2 linked regions of the Caenorhabditis elegans genome follow. The protein of the gene in region 2 purifies or fractionates together with the protein of the main gene of each other region. This does not show direct contact. Each region holds a gene or a part of one and is shown on either strand. Other genes may lie near its edges.

Evidence for each region.
Region 1: the proteins of msh-5 (region 2) and brd-1 purify together in Caenorhabditis elegans (affinity purification with western blotting, with the first as the bait; one study listed by BioGRID). This does not show direct contact.

Annotation. Positions count from the first base shown.
Region 1 is NC_003281.10:6,884,575-6,891,362, forward strand, and holds brd-1 (BRCA1-associated RING domain protein 1), read right to left. Parts: upstream 4,931-6,788; 5' UTR 4,922-4,930; coding exon 4,860-4,921; intron 4,817-4,859; coding exon 4,757-4,816; intron 4,708-4,756; coding exon 4,539-4,707; intron 4,496-4,538; coding exon 4,320-4,495; intron 4,312-4,319; exon of another isoform or gene 4,229-4,311; intron 4,108-4,228; exon of another isoform or gene 4,017-4,107; intron 4,003-4,016; coding exon 3,943-4,002; intron 3,895-3,942; coding exon 3,717-3,894; intron 3,664-3,716; coding exon 3,355-3,663; intron 3,230-3,354; exon of another isoform or gene 3,142-3,229; intron 3,061-3,141; coding exon 2,847-3,060; intron 2,805-2,846; coding exon 2,604-2,804; intron 2,552-2,603; coding exon 2,454-2,551; intron 2,412-2,453; coding exon 2,296-2,411; intron 1,344-2,295; coding exon 1,184-1,343; intron 1,135-1,183; coding exon 1,074-1,134; intron 1,025-1,073; coding exon 882-1,024; intron 803-881; coding exon 701-802; 3' UTR 633-700; downstream 1-632. Other genes in the region: med-2 (GATA-type domain-containing protein), read left to right, coding at 1-453; K04C2.2 (DNA polymerase V), read left to right, coding at 5,201-5,302, 5,355-5,546, 5,593-5,793, 5,850-6,041, 6,086-6,173, 6,221-6,411; K04C2.5 (INSulin related), read right to left, coding at 6,470-6,555, 6,609-6,728. UniProt on the Caenorhabditis elegans protein: Constituent of the CeBCD complex that possesses E3 ubiquitin-protein ligase activity.
Region 2 is NC_003282.8:13,153,108-13,158,372, forward strand, and holds the start of msh-5 (MutS protein homolog 5), read left to right. Parts: upstream 1-2,125; coding exon 2,126-2,279; intron 2,280-2,330; coding exon 2,331-2,489; intron 2,490-2,536; coding exon 2,537-2,617; intron 2,618-2,673; coding exon 2,674-2,871; intron 2,872-2,920; coding exon 2,921-3,039; intron 3,040-3,085; coding exon 3,086-3,195; intron 3,196-3,262; coding exon 3,263-3,488; intron 3,489-4,257; coding exon 4,258-4,320; intron 4,321-4,370; coding exon 4,371-4,481; intron 4,482-4,539; coding exon 4,540-4,614; intron 4,615-4,888; coding exon 4,889-4,961; intron 4,962-5,008; coding exon 5,009-5,174; intron 5,175-5,265. Other genes in the region: Protein disulfide isomerase crld-1, read right to left, coding at 639-741, 795-891, 955-1,037, 1,106-1,222. UniProt on the Caenorhabditis elegans protein: Crucial component in meiotic recombination, functioning at some point after the initiation step of recombination. Plays a role in promoting the crossover outcome of meiotic recombination events.

The sequences.
Region 1 (6,788 bases), on a different chromosome or scaffold from region 2:
GATTATTCAACTCCATTCAATGGTACATACTCCTTCACTACTGACTATTCTTATTATAATAACTACTATGACTATGTCAATACTTATGCTTCTTATTATCCAACTGCAATGGATTCTTCATCTTTAAATATTTCACCAACTACTGGAAGTCCTAATTCTTCCCATTTCACCACGTTTACTCATTTTTCTACTCCATCTACATCTCCATCTACCTCTACTCAAAGTTCAACTCCACCGAGCAATTCTGATAATAAGAAGTCATTTCAATGCTCAAATTGTTCAGTAACTGAAACAATTCGTTGGAGGAATATTCGATCAAAGGAAGGAATTCAATGTAATGCTTGTTTTATTTATCAACGGAAATATAATGAGACTCGTCCAGTCACTGCCGTTAACAAATATCAAAAAAGAAAATTAAAGGTACAGGAAACGAATGGTGTAGATTCTTCTTAATGTAAATTGTATCATTGTAAATTGTATAACTCAATTGTAATTTTCTTGTTTTAAGCCGGTAAATTGTTTTTAATTAATATGATCTCATAACTTATATTTATATCTTGTTCTCGATTTTAATTACATCATAACTTTAATTGCATGGATTGGATGCCGTTGTGTATAAAATAACACTTCAAAAAATAATCATTCATATTGCAATTTTACAATAGAAACGCAAAAGAAAATATTTTAAAACGGAAAATGGTTAATGTGGTGGTGTTGTGATGGAGCATCCAAGAATCGCCTCTATTAACCACTGCTCGCTGACAAGATTGTACTTTGTGCAGTCGCGGAATTTGTCTCCTATCTGTAAAGAGAAATAAAAATGTCACCAAACTGAAACTACCGAATCCATAATAACAGGAAAACTCCTTCGTTAAACTTACATCATGTGTCAAGCTGTAGAGCACAAAGTTTGGTTTCAAGTTGGCATTATGGTACGGCGGTGGATCTTTTTCGTCAATAATGGGCTCCCTCGCTGCAGCTTGACCACCGGCAGATCGAATAATTTCAAAAAGAGCTGGGCGATCTGAAATTGAAAATTGAAAAAATTAAAATACTGTAAATTAGAATCGTACCGAGGAAGTTATACTTTGGCTTTGGAATGAAAAATTTGCAACCGGCGAACAATTTTGGTTGCTGAAAAATTTGGTTGTATTTTTTTCTTTAGTGGAAATCAAATCCGTACCATTTTAGTGATTGTCTTCTTCCATTGTTCAATAGTATTTTCAAATACTTCACCTTCCATCCATCTAACTTTCTGAACCATATAAGAACGATCATCATCGACTTTCGATGGATCAATAATGCACGCTCTCAGCCAATCTCGACTAACTATCATTCCCGATCTGAAAGTATGAATTTCCGCTTTGAAATTTCATATTTTCACATAGATTTTTTTGGCTCTCATACTGCACCCTTGCGATTGTTTGCAATTTTCCCATGGGATCAGTCTATAACTAGACAGGGAAACGCATTTTATAATACAATCGAGCCACTGTGAAACTGAAATGAAGGTGTTTCTGGTGAGTTATATACTACTTTTGCTAATATTCAAAACTAATTTTGCAGTGTTTCCTTCTTCTTCTTCTTTCAATTTATGTTAATGCAAAGAAAGCAGAATGTCGAACTGATTCGGATTGCTCGGATAATAGGCTTTGTGTTTATGGACAATGTCTTTTTTCAAATCATGCAAGTGGTGGAGTTGTTATCACTGACGAAAATGCTGATGAACCTTGTACTTTTGACTGTCCAGTTGGAAAAAAATGTGTGGCAGGAGCCTGTGTTCGTGCCTAATTATCTTTTTATCTCCAATAAATATGTAATGCATTGCGACCTGATTTGAAGGAATGATAGAAAATAGACCATAATTACCGAATATAACTGTTAAAAAATTATTTCAGCTTTGGAAAAATAATAAGTTCTGATTAGTTTTGAACTCTCGTGCAAATGAATGGCTAAATTCGAACGCTTTTCGTGATTTTTGCTTGATGTTCCGAAGATTGTCAGATTTTCATAAATTTTTTAAGCAAAAAAAAAGATGAATAAATGTGAAATTATCGACTTTCAATTCAATTTTGAAGTTTCAGCGAATTTCTTTCTGATTATCATGCGTTTTCTTACGAACAAATGCCTTCCATTTATTTGCGCGAGAATTTAAAAATAAGTAGCCCATTTTTTGAAAAATTTCGAAAAAATTAATTTCTTAACAGCTATAGTCTGTCATTACGGTCTATTTTCTGACATTAAAAATCCCAAAATGACTATCTCCCACTTTTTAGGATAATTTTAAAAACCTACTTTATGATAGCTTTTAAAATTTCTCCAATATGCTCCTTGTTAATATTGAGCACACGAGTTTTCAAATCAACGGTGACTACCACATGCGTCGGAGAATCCATATCAGCAGGAACTATCTGAATAAATTTATTTTATTTTTAAAAATTAATTGTTTTTACATTGATTTTTCCGGGAAGTTTTCGTTTTTCAGATTCAGTGAGCATCTTCTCATCTATGAGTTGAACGAAATGAAGACGAGATTTTGGAGGGGCGACGACTGAAAATTCAATTTTTATCACGAAGAATAAAATTGTCAAAAAATTTCTTACCAGGCTGTAAAACTCTCTGTTCAGTCTTGAATTTTTCGATTATTTTCCTAATTTTCGGATCACTTTTAGCCATTTCTTCGACAGTTTTTCCAGCAATATTTCGAATTTTGATGCTGGCACCTTTCGATAAAAGATATTCAACAATTTGAGTATTTTGACGGCGAACAGCCTCGTGAAGCGTTGTTTCTAATGTTGAGCCGCCTGAATTCTTCGTCAAGAAAGTTGATAGAAGTTGTTTCTTACATGAAGCATTAATAACTGCACCCGCTTCAACAAGTATCTTAACAGCTTCCAATGAGCTATTCTCAACTGCCACGTAAAGTGGTGTCTTTCCGTCTTCTTTCTCATTTACGCACGTTCCTGCCTCTACAGCACTTCGAAGTTGAGGAATACGATTATTGCGAATTGAATTGACCAGGACAGCTTCACCACGACGAGTACCATAAGAACTGCGACGCTGAACATTTAAAAAATTGCAAAAAGTTTGCGAAAATGTGAAAATTGGAATGAAGGCGTAGAGATCAAGTTCAATTTTCAAAAAAAAAAGTCAAGCCACCTAGGGGACTCGAACCCCTGACCTTAAGATTAAAAGTCTCACGCTCTACCAACTGAGCTAAGGAGGCCATGCGTGCTGTGATGCAAAGACTTGTTAAGTAAGGGACAGAGGCGCAGACAACAAGATAATGTGGACGTTGAGCGTGACAGAGTAGAAAGACGAACGCCCGAAAACTCTTTTATTGAAGTCACTCACTTGCTCTGATTTCACACTCATCGACTTCTCTCCAAAACTCATCGGTGATTGAGATCGTCGTTCGATTTTATCGGATTTAATCGAATTTTTACGACTTCTAGACGTCGATGGTACTTCTTCTGGTTCTTCAGGTTCCAATTTTGGTTGTTTCTTGGCGCTCGCACTCATTGAAGCTTGCCGTTTTGTGAGAGGAATCGCTTTCGAGAAAATATCTTCTTCGATAATTTCGGCTTTAACTGGATTACTGCTACTTCCGAAAGCTTGAGCATACGTTGCAACACCAGTTGCTGCTGGAGCAGTTGAGCGACGCTGAAGAATTTCCGTTAAAGTTCTGAAGCGTCTTTAAAGTGAAATTGTCATACCTCAATAAACGGCGTCAGTAAATCATTTTGATGAGTTCTCTGCGGAACTTGCGATGCAAAAAGATCAACTACAGGCGCAGCCGGTTCATTTTTGACGGAAGTTTTCAGTATCGATGACCTTTTGGGTTTTCTCTCATGAACACTGACAGTTGAAGGGCGTTTTGTCGAATTACGCGTTCTAAAAGTAAATAAAATTCAATTAATTGAAGCAATGTAACAAACTCACGGAGAAGCTTCTTTGCTGTAGTCGTGGAATATATCCAATTCTGGAGAGTTTGAATTTTCCCTGAATTTACTGGGAAAATATGAAAAAAAGTTCTGCGTTCGGGGGGAATCGAACCCCCGTCGAATGCTTGGAAGGCATCCATGCTGACCATTACACCACGAACGCGGCATGGGAAACCAGCTATTAAATGAAGAGACATTTCTACTTGAAGCCACCAAATAGACCGCATCAGGTTTGTAGAAGAAGCATGACGGGAATCGTTTTCTCGGAAAGATATCCCCGATATGTCGCGTTCGTGGTGTAATGGTCAGCATGGATGCCTTCCAAGCATTCGACGGGGGTTCGATTCCCCCCGAACGCAGATTTTTTCGACTTACCGGTTTTCATCTTTACACATCAAATCATCATCCTCTTCACCAAGTTGTCCCATCTCGTCTGGCATATGAGCTTGCGTCTCCAGGAATTTCTCTACGGCATCAGCTGGAGTTTTTTCTTTGTTAAAAATGTTTTGTGTACAGGCAAACTCTGCTTGAGTTAGAGATGTTGTTCCGACCTAAATGAGAATTTAATTTTCGAGCTTTTCACCATTGACTTACTTTCTGTAAAAGGTCGTTTAGTTCAGACAAAGTATCAAAGCACGTTTTCAGCATATGAGCTTCTGTGATTTTGGATGTGTCTAGTGGGAAAGCACAACTCGGACACATGTGTCGAGCCACTGAAGAGCGTTTTCCAGACGGTTTCTGTTGAAATGTGGCGATACATTCCCTGAACATAAACTGAAGTTATTGACAATTTATTAGGTTGCAATACCTACCAGCAATAAGCATGTTTGCAAGATGATCCGAGATATTGCAAGTCTCCCCTCGGTTTTTTGCTGAAATTTTATTTAAGAGGCAAAATCTTGTACAACAACTTACCATTTAACACACTCGATAGCTGTTCGAAACGTTTCCAATGCTTTTTTAGTGTTTTCAAACATTATTTGACGCTGAAACAATAATTAAATCAAACAGGAAAAGAATAAAATTCGAAAATCGCACTTGTTTGTTTGCGCGTCAGGTGTGGTGCGTGCGCACAGAATACATTTTATTTTACGAACAAAATATTTTACTTCTATTTCTTTTTCTTTCATTAAACTAAAATTACATTTATTTTTTGTGTTTTATAGAAAAATACAGTTTACTTGGTCTGGAAAATTCACGAGAATGATCCTCTCGTCAATTTATTCTCTTTTTAATTATAATTTTAAGTTTTAAGCATGAGACCGCCAAGTGAATTACTCGATATTATTTCAAAGCTTGCTGAGCTCGATCCATTAGTCAGAAAAGGAGCAGTTAGACAGCTTTCAAGCAAACAAGAGGTAGGAAAAAAGTAGCTGAAATAAATGCCTAATTAAAGTGTTATTTTTTTAGGAATTATCCGATAACGAGCTCAACACATATGTGATTGAACGTCTTATTTCTGGATGTGCTTCAGCTCGTGCTGCTGTTCGTTTGGGATATACAACCGCTTTGGGTACTATTTTAATGACAAAAGCAGGCGAATCATGGGAACTCGACAAAATATTGGCCGTTGCAGATAAAAAGATGGACCTGGCAGAAAAGGTTGGGATTGTAAGTTCCTTTATTTGTACTAAATGTTTCGATTCAGACTGTTGGTACCGGACATGCAATTGGACATTATCTTATTCTTGTCACATATTGTCAAACCAGAAAACTCAAAGAAGCAGAAGCTACAAAAATTGTTGAGCATTCGAAGAAAATCAGAGACTTTGCTCCAAGCTTGGCATTTTCACAGATTAACCTTCTATGCAGTTTGGCTACAAAGACAAAAGAAAGTGTTTTCCAAAAGGTAAATCAATTTACTGTTTGAACAAAAACAAATCTATATTAATTTTTAAATTTCAGAGTGTATCCCCAGCCATCGAAATGAATTTGGAAGGTCTCAGCTCTCAGTTCACACCGGAAAATGTCTACCTGGCACTTCGCCTTCGTAATTCTCATTCAACAGTGGTTGCAAAATACGCAAAGTTTGTAAAGAAAGACGGATCTATTCAATTTTCTGATGATCAGTATCCTAAAATTTTGGCTGCTTTAAAGGTTAGTTTTCTATTTTAAAATTTTTATAAATACTTTATTTTCAGCGCTGTGACTTCGCCACAGTTCAAGTATTTCTTCCACTTCTCATCAAAGCATCAGTTGAATCATCTGGTTTTGATAAAATGTACCTGAGTAAGTTATACTTTTGAAAAGTTTTTTTTATAAATTCTCATTTTCAGAAGTTCTCGAGCCATGGGCCCTTTCAAGCAACGAGACGAAAGTTTTCGATAGAATTCTCACGATTGTCACTCAATTCTTTGATTTTGGAGGCGATGTGAAATCAATTGTTGTAGTATTTACTAAAGAAGTTTTGAATCGAATGGAGACCGCTACACGTGGAAAAGGACAATTCAGATTGATGAGTAAAAAGGTAATATTCAAGAGTCTTTATTGTTCAAATTTACAAAAATTAGTGAGATAGAAATTATCTAAAGGTAAACTGGCTTTTGTGATCGAATATGTCTCTGAATTTGTTTGATTGCTTTTCGGAGAAGAGCCTGGCAATCTTCCGGTACTGAAAAAAGATTTTTTAAAACTCAAGCTTTCTTCTAAACATCGAAAACATACATTTCTTGCATTGTTGTGTAAGTTCCTCATTTTCCACACAATATTCGGATGTTATTTCACACTCGATAGAACATAAATCGAGTACAGGAAGCCAGACAGCATCAGAAAATGGATCACCGCCTGTAAAAAAAGTGTTGGAACAATATTTAATTTCTTGTATCTTAAAAATGTATGCTGGTA
Region 2 (5,265 bases):
AAGTTTGGAAAATATTATAAAATATTGCTTAAAGGCGCACGTTATTGTTTAGATGGGTCTCGCCGCGAAAAAATATAATTACGGTTTTTTAAAATTAAATCCGAAAATTAATTTTTTTGCATTAATTTTCGCTTAAAGAATTTCAATTTTCAATCACAAATTTCTAGTAAATCGAAAAATATTAATTTCTAGCTATTTTTAATCAGAAAATTGTGAAAAATCGTATTTTTTCTAATAAAACTACAAAATTTTCGCGCTTTTCACAGTAAAAATAGAAAAAAAACTCAATTTTTAGTATGAAATTTGCAAATCTTTGGCGATTTTCAACGGGAATAATAACATTTTTAAGTTTTCTGGCGGAAATTTGTTGAATTTTGCGATTTTTTTGCTTGAAAATTCGGTTTTTATTGAAAATTAGGCTCTCGAAAAATTTCAGACTGGAAATTCAATTTTTTATTGATTTTTCGGGGTATATTGTGAAGAATCTAGTTTTTAAAATGTTCGTTTTATTCGCGATTTTCATTTAGAAAATAGCGAAAAATTCAATTTTTGAGGCCGAAATTCGCGAATTTTCAATGGAAAATGCGTTTTCTTTCGATTTTCATACGTTTTTATAGTCAAATTTAAGAAATTTTTACATTTTAACTGCTCAACACAGAGCCAATTTGACATATTATTGTGTTGCTGGTTGTAGTAGAACTCTTCAATTGTTTCTTCATGCTTTTCAAGTTGAGTAGAGCACTGAAAATATAGAAATTACAGGGTTTTTATTAAAAATTTAATTTTTTGAATACTTTAAACTCGATTTCTGCGATTCCCATAAAATTGTCCATATTTGGGAGCGACGATTTCTTGCAAACACCTTCGAGAACTTCGATTAGCCGGGTTTCACTGAAAATTTTGATTTTTTTTTTAATTTAAAATATTTCCAGCGCCAAATTTCGAGAAACCAACCTAGTTTTGTACTTTCCCAGATTTTTCTCTTCCCAAGCTGTGTCTCCACCGGCAAAATGATGGCGAGCCGTTTTTTTGAGACCCTGAAATTCGGAATTTCTTTTTATTTTATATTTTTAAATTCATTTAAATATAAAAATAGAGCACAAACCTCATCAAATGTGCTCACTAGAAAATTACACGTCCTGCATTTTTCGTTTTTGATGGTGACTTCTTTTTGTGACGTGGCACCAATTAATACAGCAAGCAGGAGCAGTATCCGGCTCATTTTCACCCTGAAAAATGGAAAAAATTGGATTTTTATGTAGCTTTAAGACACGACAAACCGTTATTTTAGAGAAATTACACGCAGAATAAGCGAATGAGCGCGGCCGAATGCACTGCAAATTGTCTACGTTGTCCAGTTTCTCGGCCCTGTGAGCGGAGAAAAGAGAGGGAGAAAAGAAAAATGAACAAATATTGGCTTTGACCGGGATTACTAGCAAAAGAGGTGACTGATGGAAGAGGGAACAATTAAATATTAGAAAAATTCGAAAAAGTTAATTATTTTCGCTGGAAATCACCTTAATTTGGGGAGTTTCGAAAGAAATTTTGATAAAAATAGAATTATCCACTTTTTATTTCGTGAAAAAAACAACAATTTCGACTGAAAATCCAGCTTTAATTCGAGAAATAACAAATATTTATTTATTTAATTAAATTAAATTAAATTAAAGAAAATAATTGAATTACTGTAGTGATCGTTGCGGGACCCGATGAACCGAAATCGGTATGCGCCTTGTAGTTACGGTAAGAAAAACGGGCGGTGTCGAGAATTTAATTTAAATTGCATTTCCAAAACAATTTTCCTCGTTTGAAAATAAATTTTACGAGTTTTTGGTTAGTTTAAATGCTAAAAACTTGATTTAATTTAATAAAACGTACCTAAAAATTCAGTTTCGTAGCAGAAAACACGAAAATTTCAGTTTTTAGTAAAATTTTCGGAATTTCTATTTTCAAGTCTTGTTTATAGTTACTTTTTATGGTGTTCAATCAACTTTTTGAAGTTTAAAATGTTTAAAACGTTTAAAATTACTTTACAAGAACCGAAAAAAACCGAAAATATTTCAATTTTTAGTTTTTCAGCAACCTTTTCTTAAATCAGAAATAATTTTATGAAATTTTGGTTCAAATGTCCACTCGATGGAGATATTACAATTCAAAACGCGGGAATGGATTCCGCGGTCGAGGCAGAGGCCGAGGTCGCGGTACAAGCTTGACCGCCGTCGCCTTACCCCGTGATGATAATTTTCACAAGGGAGCTCAGGATGGCGCTTATTTCAAAGGTTAACTCTAGATTATTCCTATTTTCTTTAAATAATTTATTAAAATTGCAGACATGCCGATGGATCCGGAGCAATTTCGGGATGAAACGGTGCTCAGTCTTTCTTTTGCTCAAGGAATGCTCGGAGCTGCCTACTACGAGCAATCAAGCCAGTTGTTGAAGATCATGAACGATATTTCAGAAGATCTTGAATTTAGATTCTTGAAGAGATGTCAGTTTTAAATCCAAAAAGCTTGAAATTCAACTCATTTTTTTCAGTGATAGACGATGTGAAGCCGACGCTAATAATCGCAAATAGAAGCCAGGATCTCGAATTTATCAAATTTTTGACCACGCGGTGTATGAAAATCATTATAAAAATTGAAAAAAAAAGATTTTTTTAAAATTTTTTTCAGATGATCCACAGGAAAAAATCTATGAAGACGGGACTACAGAAGAAGGAACATCAGAGGATACGGTTCCGACATGGGATTCTTCGCTAGCTTATTCTACTGACGAGACAACGGCGGAAAAAGAAGAAAAAGAAGAAGACGAAGATGATGATGACGAAGGATTACCGGCGAAGCTTAATAAGCTCCCGAACAACTTTTTCAGTTGCTTAATAATCTCCAAACATTTTTGATTTTAAAAATAAATTTGCAGGAATGTCGCGAGCTATAGAAAGATTAAAGGCGATGGCCGGGTCCCATGACAGTTCGATGACGGAAGAGGACAAGTACATTATCATCAAGATGAGATTTGATATTGAAGCTGTTAATATGGTTAGCAGATCTCTGAGCCAAAAAAAAAATTATTTTCCATCTTCAGATAAGATCATTTGGAGCACTTCTTCTTTTCCTCGATGAAACTAGGATGGGCGTGACAGACGATCCTTTGTCAGTCACTTCACCTATCAAATCTATCAAGACATTTACATTGTAATTTTACTATTTTTTGTTTTTTATTTCCCTTTGAAACAAAAAAAATCATTTTCTTCTTTTTCAGAGGAAACCTGGTAGAAATCGATTTCAACACAATTCAGGCGCTGGATATTCTGCCAAAGGAAACCGAGAATAAGAAGACTTTCGGACAAGGTAGATCACTTTATCAGTTGATGGATAAATGTAGATCAACCGTTGGAAAAAAGTGCCTTCGAAAATGGTTTAGAAATCCGACTACGGATAGAGATGATCTTGTGTCAAGACAAAAATGTGTGCACTACTTCAAACAGGTGATAATCTTTAAAGTGGAGTACCGAAATCTATGGGAAATATTTTTAAATCACTCCAAATTTTCCCCTGATTCCGAATATCTAAGTGAAAAAATATTTTTAAAAAAGAGATCCCTGATTTTATATTTCAGCTTGAAATCGCGATTTTCAAACGCAGAATTTTCGCGCCAGAGACGGCATGTGTCGATTTACGAGATTTGTGTATATTTACGAGATTTTCAATCTTTATCAGATGCTGATTTTCATTTTTCAACGAGTTTCTTTCATTTTCGTCGGTTTTGCCAGGTTTTTTTTTAAAAGAAAATGTGTTTTTAAGGTAAATTAAACATTATATTATCGAAAAACTACAAAAGTTTCGATTTTCTGTCGGGAAAAGAAATTTTGATAGATTTTTGTTGATATAATGTTTAATTAACCCTAAAAAACGCATTTTCAAAAAAAACCTGGCAAAAACCGACGAAAATGAAGGAAACTCGTTGAAAAACGGAAATCAGTATCCGATAAAGTTTAAAAATCTCGTAAATCGACATGTGGGGCGTCTCAGGCACGAAAGTTCGGCGTTTGAAAAGTCTCATGGGGACGCAAATGAAAATCGCGATTTCAAGCTGAAATATAAAATCAGGGAAATTTTTTTTGAATTTTTTCACTTAGATATTCGGAATTATGAGAAAATTTAAAGTCATTTAAAAAAATATTTTTTGTATTTCGGTACTCCACCTTTAATAAATTATCTTTTCGTCAAATATATACATTTTTTTCTCAAATTTAGGACTGGAACGCCGAAGTGACCGCTAAGTTATCATCAATTCTTGGAAGAGTGAAGGCTCTGAACGTATTAAATAGCAATCAAGTTTAATTTAATTCATTTTTGGCCGATTTCAGAGTGTATTCCAAAAATTTCAAAGTGGAACAGCTCAGCTCATTCATTGGGAGTGCTTCGTATCGACAGTCAACGCGCTTGTTGAAATCTTGAATATTATCAGGCAGACACCGGTAAATTCAAATAATTAATTTTTATAAAAAAGCGAGGTTTCAAATAATTTTTATTCAGATTTCGAAGGAGTTTCCTGTAGAATCAGATCTTCTCCGAGAAGTCTCTGAAATTGCAGTCATCGCGGGCTCCATTGTATGTTGCCAAGTGTTTTCTAAAATACGGTACCTGGTCTCGACACGACAAGAGAAGAGTACTGTACTTTCAAACTTTGTTGTCGCTGGCATTTTCGTTAACAATCTCGTGTTTTAACTCTTTCGTTGAAGTTTTTTAATCGGAAAACTGTGAAAAATCGATGAAAATTCCAGAGCAAAAAAAGTTTGCGATTACAGTAGTCGAACCACATTTATCAAAACTTTGCCGTGCCGAGACCAGGAATAAGATTTAAATCAAACTTCAAAAATTTCAGATCAACTTCGCAGAGTCGAAGATTCAAGGAAGAGTGACAGTGATGAATGGAATCGATGAAGAATTGGATGAAAGTATTTTTTTTAATTGTTTTCAAGCCCTTATTTTATTATTTCTTCAGTACGCGACACATATGAGAACATGCCAATGGTGCTCACTGCAATTGCTAAACAGGAAGAAGCTCGACTTGGTCTACCACCGTACTCTAATGTGGCGTGTGTCTACATACCACTCGTCGGATTTGTTCTTTCAGTTCCAAGAGATTACGGTGTGGAATCACAGCCTGAGTAAGCAATTCAAATCAAAATGAAATCACGCTCCACCCCTAAACGTTGGGTCTCGTTAGGAATCAACGGAAAATCCGATTTTCAAGCATTT